2 linked regions of the Drosophila melanogaster genome follow. The protein of the gene in region 2 purifies or fractionates together with the protein of the main gene of each other region. This does not show direct contact. Each region holds a gene or a part of one and is shown on either strand. Other genes may lie near its edges.

Region 1 (5,748 bases), 6.9 Mb from region 2:
ATTGAGTCCCCATACAATCCCATACAGAAGCATAAGCACTGCCACTGCTACATCCACGATGACCGCGCAGTTTTGGGGGCTATTTGCATGGGGACACCTATTTTTAGCTAGACAGTGGAGCAATGACTCTTTTATGCCCCGCGAGTGCGAATATGCCATTGGTAGCAAGCCGAACTGATTTTGATCGTTCTTGTGCCCTATAAGGATCAGGATCATCCAATCTAGGTTTCTTTAATACTAAAGAGCTGTATGCTCCGTGGTGACCTGTGCCACCTACGAGTATAGCCTTAGTTTGTTCTGCCGGCCAAAAGGCCATTCCAACTACTGAAGAACATACATACTCGTACATGGATTTGAGACCACCGAGAGCTGCCCTTCAGAAACACACACACATTTGTGCGGCGGGTGTAACCATGCCCATAGGAGGCAATCGGTCTTGTGATAGGGAACACTTCCGACGACCTTGATCCGAGCACAATTTGGCCCCACTCATTAAGGCGATGTGCACAACGTACGCGAGTGTTTCAGATTAATTAAAGCAGTCGGGCCAAGCCAAACAGCGTCACCATCAGCCGAGAAATACCGACTGGCTGTCTGAGCCCCGCCACCCACGGCCATTGGTACCTAATCAGATATGTATGTATATCGATGCTACTGGGAATTTGACTGTGCCTGGGACTGTTGTTTCTACTGGGAAAGTGTCATGGCATGGGTGAAACACATTTAACGCCTCGAGCCATAAATTACGAGCCGTGCCAGCAGCAGTGCTGACAACATAAATCTGAATTAGTGGCAAGCGGGGCAGCAAGCAACAAACAAAACCGAGTATCGATCTCACGATCCGTGGTCACTTAATGCCGGTACCTCGTAAATGGTATTCATAACTCTCACCCGCTCCACCAGGGATTCGGCGCGGCGCGCGAAGGAGGCGCGTTTATCGGCAATGGACATGGTTGGACTGGGGCTCTGGATGCGGTTCAGGATCGGTGACTGGGACTGGGCTATCCGGAAGATACTGGGAACCGACAAGTCACGCGGGGGTGTAGGTATCACCGGGGAACGCAGCTGAAATGAAAAGAGGCAGAACTTTAAACAGGCTGTTATCTATCTAAGGCACACGATCGATATGGTTTTAAGTCTGTAATAACTAAGCAAATATCGCACGGCACACGCTAAGTCGAATCATATGCAAATACAGTGGACATCAACAAGACCCAATACCAATACCAAATACTAGTTGCTAGTGCAAGTACAATCTATGCAGGAGCCATCTTGCTAGCCGAATTCCTTTTATTTCTATTCTTAGGGTTAACCAATTGGTTTATAGTTCATATAGCATTATTTGCCAAAAAAAAAAAATATATATATATATAATGGCAACATTCGAGGTGGAGGTCCCGGCCCCAAAAGTCATGAAATCTGCCGCGTATGTGTTTTCATTTTTGGCGAAAACAAAGAAAGACTCGGCGATGAAATGCAATTAATATGCAAGTGCCACTCATTGTGATGGTACTATTCTGGTCTATTACCTTATGGACCGAATCGCAATTATGGCGCAACTTCAACTTTGGACTCGAAAGTGTCAGCCACCGAGCTCAGCATAAATATTCGAGCGGAAATTATCAACAACTGACATTAAAATCGGAGCGGGAAAGACGCGACTTTCGGCCGGAGACGATCGCATGCGATGAAAACGCGTCCAAGTCGGAGGAATACCGCCGTAGAACTGATGACACACCCGGGCCGAATGCTCGACTTTTGTAGCGTAGCGAGCATAAAGAGAGTGCGTTGAAATGGGAAATTCATTATTTTATTTTTAAACGTCGTCGCCCTCTCTATTTTCGCAGATTGGCTTTTCCTCGCTTGTTTCTTGTTTCGTGGCAGATTGATTTATGGATTTCGGTGCAACAGGTGCTGGCCAGTTGACAGAGCGCCGAAAGTCCGCCGGACACACCCACTGCTTCCAATCTGGAAAACTGATTGGGACACAAAGCTGCATCCAATTTGCATAATCCCATCAAAGAGCACTTGCACCCAATTATGATAATTTCGGCTTGACGCACTAGGCATTATTGGCTTCGAAAAATTGGAACTGCAGTTCAAATTCAAAAACAAGGTACGGAGAAACTAAAACAAGAGGGAACGCTACAGGCGAGTTCCCCGACTATTAGATACTCCTTTCTCTGCTAGTGAAAGTTCAAACATGAATTTCAACATTTTCTGACATAGCAATAAAACTAAATTAATCTCTCTTATATATGTAGTTCCTGAGATCTCGACGTGCATACGGACGGACATGGCCAGTTCGATTCGGCTAGTGTTCCTTACCAATATATGCTTTATTGGCTCGAAAAACACTTCCTTTCACCTGATACATATTCGTTGAAAAAGGAATCTAGAATACTTCTTTTTTAATCTACGAGTAATATTTTTCATCGCGACCCGTTCATTAATCATTAATCATTACTAAATCTTACTAGTTCTGCCATTTGGTCTATAAGACATATTGGAATTGGAATGCAATTCAATTCATTTTAGTCTAGCGTTTGTACTTTTAGTAGAAATAATTCTCATATGGATGGAAGATTTCAATCGGAGTATTAAAACCAGCCCTCATTTTCTAAAATCGTGCAAAAAAGATATGAAAATTAAAGTATTAAGTGCCATTAATGCCATTAAGAATAGGTTTGGTTTTATTTTTCACCAGCCCACTTTTCAGATTAGCAATGCTAAACTCTCAGCATTACCTTTAAAAAATCGTTCTCATTTGCGACTAGTTCGAATATCTATCTACATTCTGCCGAAACTAACTAGAGAAAAACTGAAGTTCTACGTATGTAAGTATAACACATTTATTCTACACAGCATTAGCGAGGTTACACACCTAGCGAAGTCATCCTCCCAATTAAAATTTCCCTAAGCGGAGCTAGTCACCACGACCACATTGCCACTTTATTAAAACTAATAACTGTTTAATAACTGTAATAGAATAAGTTAAAATAATTAAATAATATGACTAATCACGTGTTGCTAATACAGTTAAAAGGCTAATTATTTAATTTAATTAATGTTTTGTAAACAGTTTCCATGCAGATGTATTAATAGTTTCCATGGCAGACTTTCTGAAAATGAACATTCTAAAACTTAGCGGAATTTCCCCTCTCTTTCTAACGGTTATTTGCTATGCTTTCAAGCGAAAGTAATCGATGGTAGCGAGGAGCGTATCGATGTGCGCCAGTTTTTTGGTGGCAGCGATGGTATCGCACACACATCGATTCTAGTGCCAGCCCTATTTTTTGTGCAATTATTTATTAAAAATAAGCAACGACGTGAGCGAACGACACGACCCACGAACGAAGGCAACGAAATGGCAACGCGCGGCGGACCAATGGTCGCGGGCACCGATGGCAACGACTTCGAGTTCAGGCAGCGCGTAGCTGGCACATATCAAATTAGGTTAATAACACTTCGTGCTATCGCCAGCTCTCAGCTACACTCGAAATTATCTAATTACTGGGGCGCCTGTGGCAGTAGATCCACCTGCAGGCGGCACCTACTGCAGCCGAATCGCAGGTGGCGTCCAGCCAGGGCGGCGGAGCACCCTGGAGCTGCTGCACCCACCCACTTGCTGCTGTAGGGGGCGGGTGGGCAAAGTGCCAGCTGGGCAGCATGTGCGCCCCAATATGGGGCTCACCCACACAGATCCGCCACTGAACGACCACTTTCTCTGCTCTTTTAGCCTGCTGAACAAGTCCAGGTTGAAGTACTGCATCTTCTTTCACGCCCTGCTGTTCTTCGTGATGCTGGCCAAGCTGACGTCGGACATTCTGGACCACCTGGATATCTTTGTGCTGGAGATCGAGGAGCTGGAGGTCCCACCGCCCCTGTGGTGGGAGTACGTGTGGGCCGCGTCGTTGCTCACCTCCTTCCTGGGCCTTTCGGCCGCCAGGGGCAACAAGGTGCGCGAAATGCAGAAGTATATGGTGGCCATACTGCTATTCGCCATCCTGCCACTCTTCTACTGCTTCGCCTACTACTTCTCGGACGTGTGGGAGTTCGCCACGCTGGACAAGTCGGTGGAGCTGGACGAGACAGACATCTTTGTGTGGCGCGTAAGTGGCTGGGCCAGTTAATCCCTCAAGAGCCGCCCTACTAAACCTCGGTTTTTCTACAGGGTTATCCGTACGGCGTCTTCTGGTATGCCTTCTGCTTTGTGGGCTTCCAGGTGCACGGATTTACGCTGTACTTCGCCTACAACCTGGTCAAGGCCTGGAAGGCCAGAACTGCCACGCGCAAGTTCCAGTAATCTAAATACTCGCCAAACTAGTAAACGCCGGAATGCAGGGCTAGTTGTAAATAATTTGGAAACTTGAAACTAACTCAAAACACTAGTGCACAAAAGCGTAATGAAACTATGGTAAACTAAAGTTATGCAGCTGTTAAGGTATCGCACACTTAGTCATACAGGAAGGGAAACATATGGTCGAAACTGAGCGAAGCGTCGGCGGTAAGGTTATTGTTAGTTGAAAGTTAGTTGATACCGTTTTCAAATTGATTAAATAGACTCTTATCCATATACACATGTACACCTATACACATAGACATACATATATACACACATACGCAGCCTTGTGAGGTCAACTAAAGACAAGAAGCAACTGAAGCCACCAAATTTCCCCGAGTCGGAATAAAAACTGAAAACCAACCTAGAGATCACTTCATTTTTGCTCACTTACATTTCGACGTGCCTCGTGTTTGTTAGAAACGTTTTATATATATATTTACACATGAAAATATGCGTACATCAGTTTATGTTTGCGTCCACGGATGGTTACTTCCTCGCCTAGTTGATAATTAGTTCACTTTTCTACAAATTTCGAAACCGTTTCATTTTTGCCAGTACGTTAATTTTGAATTTTATTCATCGAACCGCACAGTGCCATGCTTTAAGGCGTCTGGCCGGGTGCTGAACGTTTGAGAACTGCCCCAAACTATTTACAACCTTCTGTCACTGTTTACACACTACTATAAATAAGGATTGAAATGCAATTTGAGTGTTAAAGCAAAGTTCTTCAATTTCTGATCGTCAATAATACTGTGTAATGACAGGCATGTCGCCAAACTAAACTGAGAATTGAATTTTAATGTAATGATGTTTTTTAAATCGTAATTTATTATTCGAATTTTTAAGTAGTTTTTTAAAAATCGATCAATAAAGATGCATATATATTTGTTCTTCTGAGTGGGTTAAACATAGCATTTTATTGCGGTTGATTTAAAACAAATTTTGATAAGTATACCTATTAAGTCACTTAATGTTTATATGCTCATCTACAATATTTATCATAACTTTAAAGAGGCAAATACAAGTTCTCAAGCTTTATTTCTTGAAAAACACCACCAAATAAGGACCTTCGCCCAAAGCAATACAATCCAACACAACCCCACAGGCCGTTGCAATGCGGCTGGCAGGCCGAATTGGCCACAACAATCCAGTTTTAGTGACCATTTGTGCATCGAGGCGAGTGGAGGAGCAACAGCAGGCGAGCATTGCGCAATTGTTTACAATTGGCGACGGAGAGCCAGGAAGCTGAGACAGAGAGAGAAAAAGCTGTGGCGGAGAGCCAAAGCTTTTCCGCAGCATCCTTTTCTCCCTGCTCCGCCCGCTCTCTTAATTTTCCATTTGTACATTGCCTGTGCGAAGAACGGATGCCGAATTTTCCAACACACCATTTCGGACCGAAGTAA
Region 2 (10,786 bases):
TATTGCTCGAAAGATTTTTTACACTACCGCGGATACATTAGCTATCAAAAAAATTGTACTTTCTTCATCTGAGATAGCTAGTGACGCCAACTTGGGATGTTTGTGACCCCATGGGAATGCTACCACCCAAAAACATGCTCTTGTTCGGAATCAGGGGAAAAACTATGGGCTGCCGGTCCACAGTTGCGGCAATCGCCTGCGTCATCTTGATGACGCTCTGGTCCAGCTTGATTCCGCACTTGCCCTTGTGCAGGTGGAAGAATGCCGGACAGTGGACCTTGCCGTAGGGGTCACGATAGTGATCCCGGTACTTTTGGCACTCCAAATAGAATGTGTCAATCCTGTAGATCTCTGCACGACTTATGGTGGCCAGGTCGACCGCCTCGGGCACGAATTTACGAATCATCTGACGATCTTTTTGGGATTTCTTCGAAACGTCCCAGTACTGAGCCTCTGGTATGGCAAATTCCATGGTTCTTTTTTTTTATAAATCTTTCAACGAAATATATTTAAATTTCTTTTTTAAAACTCCTAACTAAAGCTGTGTGTAAATTGTACTGTTGTGAGAGACTCAGCTCACTGTGATGCAAACCAAAATAAGAAATATAAATAAAATAAACTCAAAATATCATCAAAGACATAAATTAAAGGTAAGAACTGGTCTTTCTACCAAAGGATATATGAGCCATATAGAACATGCTGAATGAAATCAATACATTTTCAAACCACTGCCATTAGTCATGGCTACTCAAAAACACTCTTTCCAGCTTGTAGCACTCTCTTTCTGGCCAAGTATACTGAATGGCCGAATCATTCGAATCGGGTAGTGCTCTCTGGACGGGATTTCTGAATTCAGTTCTCCGCCAGTTGTTAAATCGCTTGGTTGTGTCGGCAACCGTCGCCACGACAACGCCGCTCCAAGCACAAACAATTAGTTGCCAATTTCAGGAGACAATGAAAACCGAAACAACTTGAATTGAATGTTGTTGTGAGTTCTTTTGACTGACACAAAAACTGATCCAAAGTGCAGTGGTGTGTGGCGAAAAACAAAGCTCCAACCGAAAGCAAAACCGAAAAACCAAAGATTCATTCATTATGGCATCAGGTTTGCAGCGGGTTAACGAAAATGAGGTAAGTCAAAATACAAATATCTCATATCTGAAGATATTCCAATGTATTCACATTCCGAGCACCCACCGACCTTGATCTTAGCCATATATTCCTGGTCTTGAATTATTTATTTGTTCGAGCGAATGAGACACACCATCGTGTCCACATCCCCATTTCCATTCCATCCGTAATTGCCAGTCCGGGTAATTATTGTCTTTGTTCCAACTGTTCGTGCAATTCAAAAATGTTGTATATCCGACTCGTTGGCCTTATGCACTTTTAAACTGCGATGAGCTGTGCGAAAAGCATTTGTTCTCATATTGATTTTGTAATTGTTATGGGAATTGCATCCTTTTGTGGTAATTATCCTTGCAGTATGGCTGAATCCTTTGTTTCCCCACAGAAACCAGTAAAAAATGCTTGGCAGGTTAGTTTTCAATGATGTATGCTTTTTATTTACTATGCACATTTGTGTTTGTAACCCTTGCCCTGAATGTTAGCCTATTTTTCATTACTCGGAGCTGCGATGTTCTGTTTTCTTATCGGCACAAGATCTGACACAAATGGCAATAGATAAGGAATTACTTTGAAAGCGATCTTTAAGATTCATTCACTTTTAAAGTGACTGTTGCAGCGCCATCATGACCACTTTCCTCGAAAATGTATCTTTCGGTTCTGCAGACTTTATATCCTGAATTCAAATACTCATATATGTACATATATACCCTATATTTTAGATGAAGGCAATGGATGCCAATAGGTATGCCACCAAGAAGACGATCGCCCAGGGCATGCTGGACATCGCCCTGCTGACCGCCAATGCCTCGCAGCTGAAGTACATCCTCCAGGTGGGCGAACAGCACCAGTTCTACAAGCTGATGCTGATCCTGATCAGTCTGTCCATAGTCATGCAGGTGAGTATATAATCACTGTAGATTCTTATTCTCTAAGTGTCAGGCACAGAGAAAAACATAAATGTGTATCCTAATGAAATCCATCACACTCGGAAAAACTTGGCTAGATCCAAATGACAATATGGAACTGATAGTTATGTTTTTCTCTGTGCAGGTCCTGTCGGGCGTGCTGAGCCTGTCCCTGAGCCTGCTGCGGGATTGCCGGCTGCATCAGCCGGAGTTTCATCAGTCGGCCAATATCATTAACCATGTGCGCACGGGCTTCGCCTTCTTCACGACCATGATCAATCTGTTCATCTCGGCCTTTGACAGTCGATTGCCTCCGCCACAGGGCGACTTTCTAAACAACTAGGACTAGAGGGTGGGCATGGTAGGGATTGTACGCTTCCGTTTCTAATGCATTCCTCATTCCCCATTTTGACAGCTTTTGGTGGGCATTCTGTTCGTGGTCATCGGGAGTCTCAACATAAACAGGCAGCAGGATCAGACGGCAGCGGTCATCCTGAACGATGTCATTTTGGTAGTCGTGTTCATAATATCCGTGGTGAACGTTATCATATCCGGTTTCGGCATAGAGTACTCATCGCAGCCGCTCCGACTTCTCGATCAGCACGAAAAGACACCGTAAAATCTAGAGATCCAACGATTTACACTTATATTCATACAAATATGTACTTTAAGGCTAATGCAAACCTAAGTTGTAGAGGGAAATAAATGAATGTATTGATACCAAGGCATTGCATTTTCTCTTACCTTCGCAAACAGGTGGCTGCTGGACTCTTGCTGGTCATTCAGTCCCTCATCAATATGCATAATACCAAGGATCGAAATCGGGGCTTCGCCATCAACCACTTCATAGATGCCTTCATATTCCTGTCCGTGTTTTGTGACATCATGAAGATGAATTTTGGACTGGATCCGGCGGTTCCTCACACAGATGTGGAACTTCTGAAGCCCTGAATTTTTGAAATCACAGCTGAGGTTAAATTTTGATGAACGACGTAGGCTCAGTGTTTTAAATACACTTGCTTGCCACATTGTATATATAAATTTTTACCAAAAAAAAAGCAAATTTCTATTAAGTGATAATGCTAGCCGCGTTTTAGTGTAAAATCACAGAAACAAAAGATTAGTGCTTTTTAACAGTTGTTTGTTGCATATATTTTGGAAGGCCCGTAAATTTAACGTTTTATTTGCTTACTAATAAATCAAGATGCCACGCCCAGAAGCAGGCGACAGGTGAGCAATCCTATATTTACACAATTTGAATTCGATATAAGTTCGCGCTTGCAAGAAAAGTGTGACCGCCGCGCAAATGTGGACCGTTATCGATAGGCGCCGATTATTTATGTTCATTGTCAATGACAATTTGTTTTAAAGCGAAAAATATAGTACAGGAATAATAGTTAGTTAGTTACGATAAATATGAGTATAATTTCAAAATTAGATTAATTAGTTTAAATTAAGGCCGTTGACGGGCTGGTATTTCTTTGACGCTCTTGGTATATTGCAGTATTTATCCGAAGACTCTGTGGTATTTCTTCGTTGTCTCTGGCGTGGTCACGTTGATTGGTCCGCTATCTGGACCGAAAAAAGTCGTATTCCAAAAATAATACGTATACGTACGCGCGTGAATCACTCGCCACACGACCCAGCGCAGCGCGACAATCGAGTGTAGACACATAACATAACTGCCGTAGTCGTCGCCTCCGTGACATCCGCGCCAGCACCAACCCGAATCCGGCCGCGTCCCCCGTTTCCAAATCCAATTTCCCCTTTAATTTCGGTGGCTAATATTAGAGTCTTGCGACATGTTTAGCTTTCTGAAGCGCGAGAAGAACACCCAGGAGGTAGTGGAGAATGTGATCGGCGAGCTGAAGAAGATCTATCGGAGCAAGTTGCTGCCGCTGGAGGAGCACTACCAGTTCCACGACTTTCACTCGCCAAAGCTCGAGGATCCAGACTTCGATGCGAAGCCCATGATCCTGCTGGTGGGCCAGTACTCCACGGGCAAGACGACCTTCATCCGCTATCTGCTGGAACGCGACTTTCCGGGCATTAGAATTGGTCCGGAGCCAACGACGGACCGCTTCATCGCCGTGATGTACGACGACAAGGAGGGCGTGATACCGGGCAACGCCCTGGTTGTGGACCCCAAGAAGCAGTTCCGGCCGCTGTCCAAGTACGGCAACGCCTTCCTGAATCGCTTCCAATGCAGCAGTGTGGCCTCGCCGGTGCTGAACGCCATCTCCATCGTGGACACGCCCGGAATTCTCTCCGGCGAAAAGCAGCGCATCGACAGGGGCTACGACTTCACCGGCGTGCTGGAGTGGTTCGCGGAGCGCGTGGACCGCATCATCCTGCTCTTCGACGCCCACAAACTGGACATCTCCGACGAGTTCCGGCGCTCGATCGAGGCGCTCAAGGGACACGACGACAAGATCCGTATTATCCTGAACAAGGCCGACATGATTGATCACCAACAGTTAATGCGGGTGTACGGAGCACTGATGTGGTCGCTGGGCAAGGTGCTGCAGACGCCGGAGGTGGCTCGTGTCTACATCGGCTCCTTCTGGGACCAGCCGCTGCGCTTCGACGCCAACCGCCGACTGTTCGAGGACGAGGAACAGGATCTGTTCAGGGATCTGCAGTCCCTGCCGCGTAACGCCGCCCTGCGCAAGCTGAACGATCTGATCAAGCGGGCGCGCCTGGCCAAGGTGCATGCCTTCATCATTGCCGAGCTGCGCAAGGACATGCCCTCTGTGTTCGGCAAGGACAGCAAGAAGAAGGACTTGATTAAGAACCTCGGCCAGGTATACGATCGCATCCAGCGCGAGCACTCCATTTCTCCCGGCGACTTCCCCGACATCAAGAAGATGCAGGAGGTCCTGCAGCACCAGGACTTCACCAAGTTCCACTCCCTCAAGCCCCATCTGCTGGACATCGTGGACAACATGCTGGCCAAGGACATTGCCCGCCTGATGGAGATGATTCCCCAGGAGGAGATGACCATGGTCGCGGACCCAATCGTCAAGGGTAAGTCCCCAAGAGAGTGAATGATTAAGCACCGCTTTGCCGCATTAGTCACACTGCACTTGCTCGGGCAACCAGACATCCGACTCGTGCCCGCGAAGATCTCGAGAAATCTCTTGGTTTTCCGCGGGCATTTCACTGGCGCGTTTTCGCTTTCCCATCGCACCGAAATATTGCGCATGCGCAGCTAGAAAAATGCGCCAGTTAACCCAGATTTCCAGACGGGCCAAAATGCGAAAAAAACGAGTTTTGCCAAGCGGAGTGAGCGGCTTGGCTTCGGATACGGCCAAAGTATGAGCCACAGCTACAGCTAGACCGCAGCCAAACGTATTTAATGGATATACAATTACAATCACAATTCAAATTGCCAGCGAAAAACAAAGCCAGTGGGAGCGATCCAAAAATCGAAGCTTTTCTTTGGCCCGCATGCACAGCTTCCTCTTTTCGCTGACTGGCCAATTATGCAATGCCTGGCAACGACTATATATAAACCCTATACTATGAGCGAAACATATTTGAGCTACTATATAAACAAAGTGATAAGCACCGAAAACTGATAAGACGAGCGAGCAAAAAGTCGGTGTCAATTTAGCGCTTAGGCCAGCCACACAAACGCACTTTCTGTGGCAAACTCAACATCGAGGTGGAAGAAAATAGCGCCACAAAACCACGTATTTTCTTTCCTATCTCTTGCAAATACTCTGCTACCCAAAATGTGATAGCCAATTGCTTTGTACTTGAAAAATGGGCGCCAGTGGCGGGCTGGGGCGTGGCAAACCGAAAAATTTTACTATTCATATGTGTCAATAATTATCGGCTTGCTTTCGTCATGGGTAGGAACTCAGCCAAGTTGACTGTTTTCTCCCCGCAACGTGATAAGATTCGTGGCCATGATGTAATCATTGGAAAATACCGATAGCTTGGAGCAGTGCAGGGTTCGTTCTAATTGGGCCATGAGTCATCAGAGAGGGGAAAAAAGAAAATAATAGCAGGCGTACAGTTGGGCATGATAAATATTTCACACTCGAGTACCCAGGCTGAATCGGATCTGGCTCTCCGGAGCAGACGCATCCAGGCAACCATGACGAATACCACGCACTCGATGCCGAGCCAAAACGCCCAGCAATATAATCGCATTTAAGCGTTGAGCATTCGAGGAGGAGCAGTAGGAGGTGGTAGTAGTAACTCAGTTAATCAGAGTCTAGAGGCGCCAGTCGCATTGCAGTCGGAAAAAAGTAAACCCTAATTGAAAGTCTAATTCGATTCGATGCAAGCTGGCTGCTCCACCGGTTCGCCCTGTTACTGTGACCTCCGACCTTCGTGCGTGGCCCAGAGTTCAAGGCCCAGTGCCGCGCACCTGTTCGCTTTCCCCCATGCATTCGTTAGTGGGTCGAGCCAAAGTGGCCTGTTTGTCAACCCTTATCGGGTTGCTAGGCAACTTCTAGTTGGCCGTACTGCACGTTACCCTAGATAAAAATCAATGTAAGGCCGAGTCAGCATGCCATCATCAAATCATGTCTTATCAGTCGACAAAAGTCTGGGCATGTTCCTCTACTAGCACTGCTCTAATTTCAAGCATCAAGTATGCTCATTTAGTTTGTTTATCTGCTCTTACGCTGTTTAGCGTAATTAGGCAACAAGTTGCGGCTACTGGCCGTGCAATTTTTGGCATATTTCAAACAATAAAAGCCGAAATTATCAGAACTAGTGCATATGTATATTATGAGGGGCTCAAAGGTTGTCCACCGTAAAACTTGTAATTATATTCAGCTTTAGGGATCATTGCTTGCTGAGCAAGCAACTTATATGGAAAGCCAGTAACTAATTTGATTGCTCATTTATGTAATCATCCGTTTTGCATGCACAAACCTTTTTTTATCGTGCGAGTAGAAGGCACTGTCAGCATTCTCTTGCCATTTATCAATGCTCCTTATCATGCCAGCTAATGGTGTTGTGCCCAATGAAACACTATAAAACTACAACGGAAAGGCGTGTGATTGGATTAATTCAGTATACAAAGCCGCCAGACAAGGAGAACGAAAATAATTATCTTCCAATATGCCAGGCAACTTAGAATTGGAATAGTAAATATACATATGTATATATACATTCCAATATGTGCTGCCTCCGAGGAGGAGAGATTGTCGTCCAGCTGATCAAACAGCACCCAGAATAATCCCCACGCCCAGTTCGCCCAGACGATCCCTGGTCAACCCATCGCCACAACCCACCTCTGGCGATTATATACATATGTACGTATATATGATCTGTAAACCGAACCGGTTGCAGTCGCATACGAGTACATGTATTGCTGGCGTTGGCAACCTGAGGCCGCGTATCAATTTGATGCTCTCCGATTGTGACTTGGGGCGTGTGGCACTAAGTGGCTCATCCTCCGTCTAATCCGCTCGTGAATTCCACGAAGGGGCCCACGGAATTCAGATGAACTAGCGCTAAGTGCAGGAAGAAAGCATTTTACTCTATGATATACGGCTCGGTGGCAATCCAGTCGCCACAATGCTATTGTCTGATCTCTACTGTTTGCCTTTTGGTTTGCTGACCACTTGAGTGGCCTTTTAATTCAACTATTAGCGTATTTTGGCCTGACCTTGTGCGAAAGTATTCCACATAGCCGAGCAAATACGTTTCGCTGGGGCAAATCCAAGCATAATACGATTGGCGATCGACTGATGTCATGGGTGGGAGATCAATATCTCAACGCATGTGTCATCCATCCGCAGTCTCGGTCACCTCGACATTCGATTTGGGTAAAATTCGATAGCCCCCTCCTTTTAAATTGGACCCGACAAGTGAATGAACTTCTCGTTTATTATTACACCAGAAGGAATTTCGATGGTTGTACCCCTGAAAAAGAGAGGCGGAATGCGTTGATAAAGCGAACCGAATCGAAATCAAAGTCAAGAACTTGGGGCTCTAATTTAGTGCATGGGCGAGTGAGTGAGTGAATGAGTGTATGTATCTGTATCTGTATCTCTGATTTTATTTTCGTTGCGTTCGCTGCACAGTTTGCTTTCATTTGCTAGCATTTCCGTTGTATTGTCTTGGATAATTGACTTGGCTAGCTCAGCCAGCAAGATAAGTGCTTTGGGTAGTGATGTCTTCATAGTTTCGGTTGATTTGACAATGGAATTGACACTCCATTCGAAATGGAACTTATGTGGACCGTGCCTTGAGTCACTGCCTCCACCGTCACCATCACTTCATCACCAGCACATCTTGAATATGGGGATCGGCATCACATGTTTAGCAGTATGTCGCTAAATAGTTGTACACATATCTGACACGATCTTGCAGAAATCAGTTCTTCTGTTCGCCGTTCTTTTGGTTCTTCGTACTTTTCGTTTTCGCCATTGGCCCACTAATTAAACTCGGTTTGATTTCCACGTCCGAGTCGCACTGCCGCACTTAGCAGTTGTGCTATGCTCCACTGTCAACCATCTTTCTCTCTATTTCTTGCATACCCAAGTGGACTCCGACGACGATTTCGATGTGGCCGACGAGCCAGCTCTTCTGACACCCGGCTCGCAACGGGAGCAGTTCGCGGAGCGCTTCGATCGCTGGCTGCAGAATCTGCGCCAGCAGCAGCTCCGCCTGTTCAGCAGTTGCACTAGTCGGGTGGGCAATGTCGAGAGCGATAAGGATGCCGATCCCGGTCCAGAAACGCAATCTATGCCTCAGGCAGAGCTGGAGCATGAGTCTGGCTCTGACTTCGAGTTAGAAACCAAACCAGATCCTGATCCTGAAGTTGAAAATGAGGCGGAGCCGGAGACGGGGACAGGGACTGATATGGCCGTAAGCAACACGCACAGTAGTTGATTCCATAAGTCAGTGGCACCGATTGAATATACAGTATTGATTTACTTAGAATAATGGAATGGGAACTCAATGATCTCCAAGCCATGCCACCCGGAGGGCCCTTTTCAATTGCAAAGAGACCGCAAACGAATTGAGCAACTTCAAAAAGTTAATTGAGATCGCACTTTACAACCTGCACCGCCCATCTCAATTGCCCCCCCCCAGAATGCACTGCACCACAATTGCCCAGTTAAAGTAGCCGGCAAAGTACATGCTTAAGTCGGTCAGCCGGCCTAGTCACGGAACGGCGGCGGCGACGTCAATTGGAGCCAGAGCGATCTAAAGGTTTTAATTGCCTCAAATTGAATGTTTGTGCACGGCGACGCACCGATCAACTTAGATTACATGCTTAATTAATGCAAATTTATGGCGCACACAGAGTATCGAATGCCACACTGACCTCTCCATCCATTCATCGCCTCTTCCACAGGTGGTGCCTTCGAGGGAGTCATCGACGACCATGTCTCACCATTCGGCTACATGAAGGGCGAGGGCATCGATGCCGGCTACGGAGAGCACGAGTGGATCTGCAACAAGGACAAGCCGCGCACAGATGGCATCTTCAATGGGCTGGGACCAGTCGATGGCAAGATATCCGGTGCAAGTAAGTTTGTTATAACTCAAGGGGAAAATCGAAAACAATAATCCCATTCTTCGCCACTTGCAGCTGCCAAGCAGGAACTCATCAAATCGAAACTGCCCAACTCGGTGCTCAGCAAGATCTGGAAACTGTCGGACGTCGACGGCGATGGGTTCCTGGACTCTGACGAGTTCGCGCTGGCCTTGCACTTAATCAACGTCAAGCTGGAAGGCTGCGAGCTGCCCACCGTGCTGCCGGAGCACTTAGTACCGCCGTCGAAGCGCTATGACTAGTGTCCTGTAGCATACGCATACGCACACCCGATCACACAGCCTCACAATTCCCAAAAAAAAAAAAAAAACACAGCCGTACACAGATGTCGCATAGAGACCAACTCCTAGGATGCACTATGTTCGATTCTTTTGACTTTTAGCCACACAGTGCAGGCGACTGCCCTTTTATATGTACTATACTCGTTGTGAACGCGCCATTAATGCGCTGGGTATTAAAACACACACCGTATCACCGTATGACCGACCGTATGAGATATCAATCATAAATTCGTAGAATTTACACAAGCATATAGCATATTTTTGGATAATCGATTGTAAAGCAGGATGTAGAGTAGCAGCCTAGTGGAATAAGACAAGGAGTGTGTGTTAAGCGCCTAATTGTCATTGTTGACTTAAGGAAAGTGAAGTGTGGATAAACAATTGTTCAATGCCAATGAAAAAAGCATGAGTTAAACTGTATACAATATCTAGGTTAATGTCGATGTGCAGCTTGAAGGGCCATTAATTTGCAATCGTACCACTTTTGATACACAATAAATGTATTTTTGTTATACTACAAATTTACAATCGACGGAATCGTGGGTTACGGCATGTATTTCCTGTATTTATTTTGAAATATTATTAATTGTTTGAAATGCTCCCGCAAGGCAGGCCACTTGAAAGAGAAACGTGCAATTTACTGCCTGTGCTTCGACTATTTTGTAATTAGTGAATTCTTGAATATTAAATAATATTAAATGTGAAACTAATCTGATTTTTAAATTGTATAAAAGAATAAAATGAAACTATTTTGGAAGTGTTTGTTTGGAATGTGAATGGGGGTTCATTGTTATGGTAGCTTATATTTCAAGTTGATTTTTCTTTAATCAACAAAGTAGCTATGGCTTGAAAAACGTTTCAAAAGAGAATCAGTTACTTTTCAGTAAACTTTCAAATTTTAAACTTTTCGAAACTAACTGATTTCGGTATATTTTTCTGAA

What was found. The genes of interacting proteins can lie anywhere in the genome.
Region 1: the proteins of Past1 (region 2) and jagn purify together in Drosophila melanogaster (affinity purification with mass spectrometry, with the first as the bait; one large-scale study listed by BioGRID). This does not show direct contact.

The regions. Positions count from the first base shown.
Region 1 is NT_033777.3:5,776,061-5,781,808, forward strand, and holds jagn (jagunal), read left to right. Parts: upstream 1-3,254; 5' UTR 3,255-3,367; coding exon 3,368-3,456; intron 3,457-3,739; coding exon 3,740-4,112; intron 4,113-4,174; coding exon 4,175-4,306; 3' UTR 4,307-5,248; downstream 5,249-5,748. UniProt on the Drosophila melanogaster protein: Required for endoplasmic reticulum organization and proper vesicular traffic during vitellogenesis. Required for oocyte and bristle growth.
Region 2 is NT_033777.3:12,694,276-12,705,061, forward strand, and holds Past1 (putative achaete scute target 1), read left to right. Parts: upstream 1-3,046; 5' UTR 3,047-3,237; coding exon 3,238-3,263; intron 3,264-3,555; exon of another isoform or gene 3,556-3,835; coding exon of another isoform or gene 3,836-3,843; coding exon 3,844-5,060; intron 5,061-9,363; coding exon 9,364-9,537; intron 9,538-9,600; coding exon 9,601-9,806; 3' UTR 9,807-9,858; downstream 9,859-10,786. Other genes in the region: CG14391 (uncharacterized protein), read right to left, coding at 65-472; NijC (ninjurin C), read left to right, coding at 1,096-1,131, 1,848-2,024, 2,449-2,652.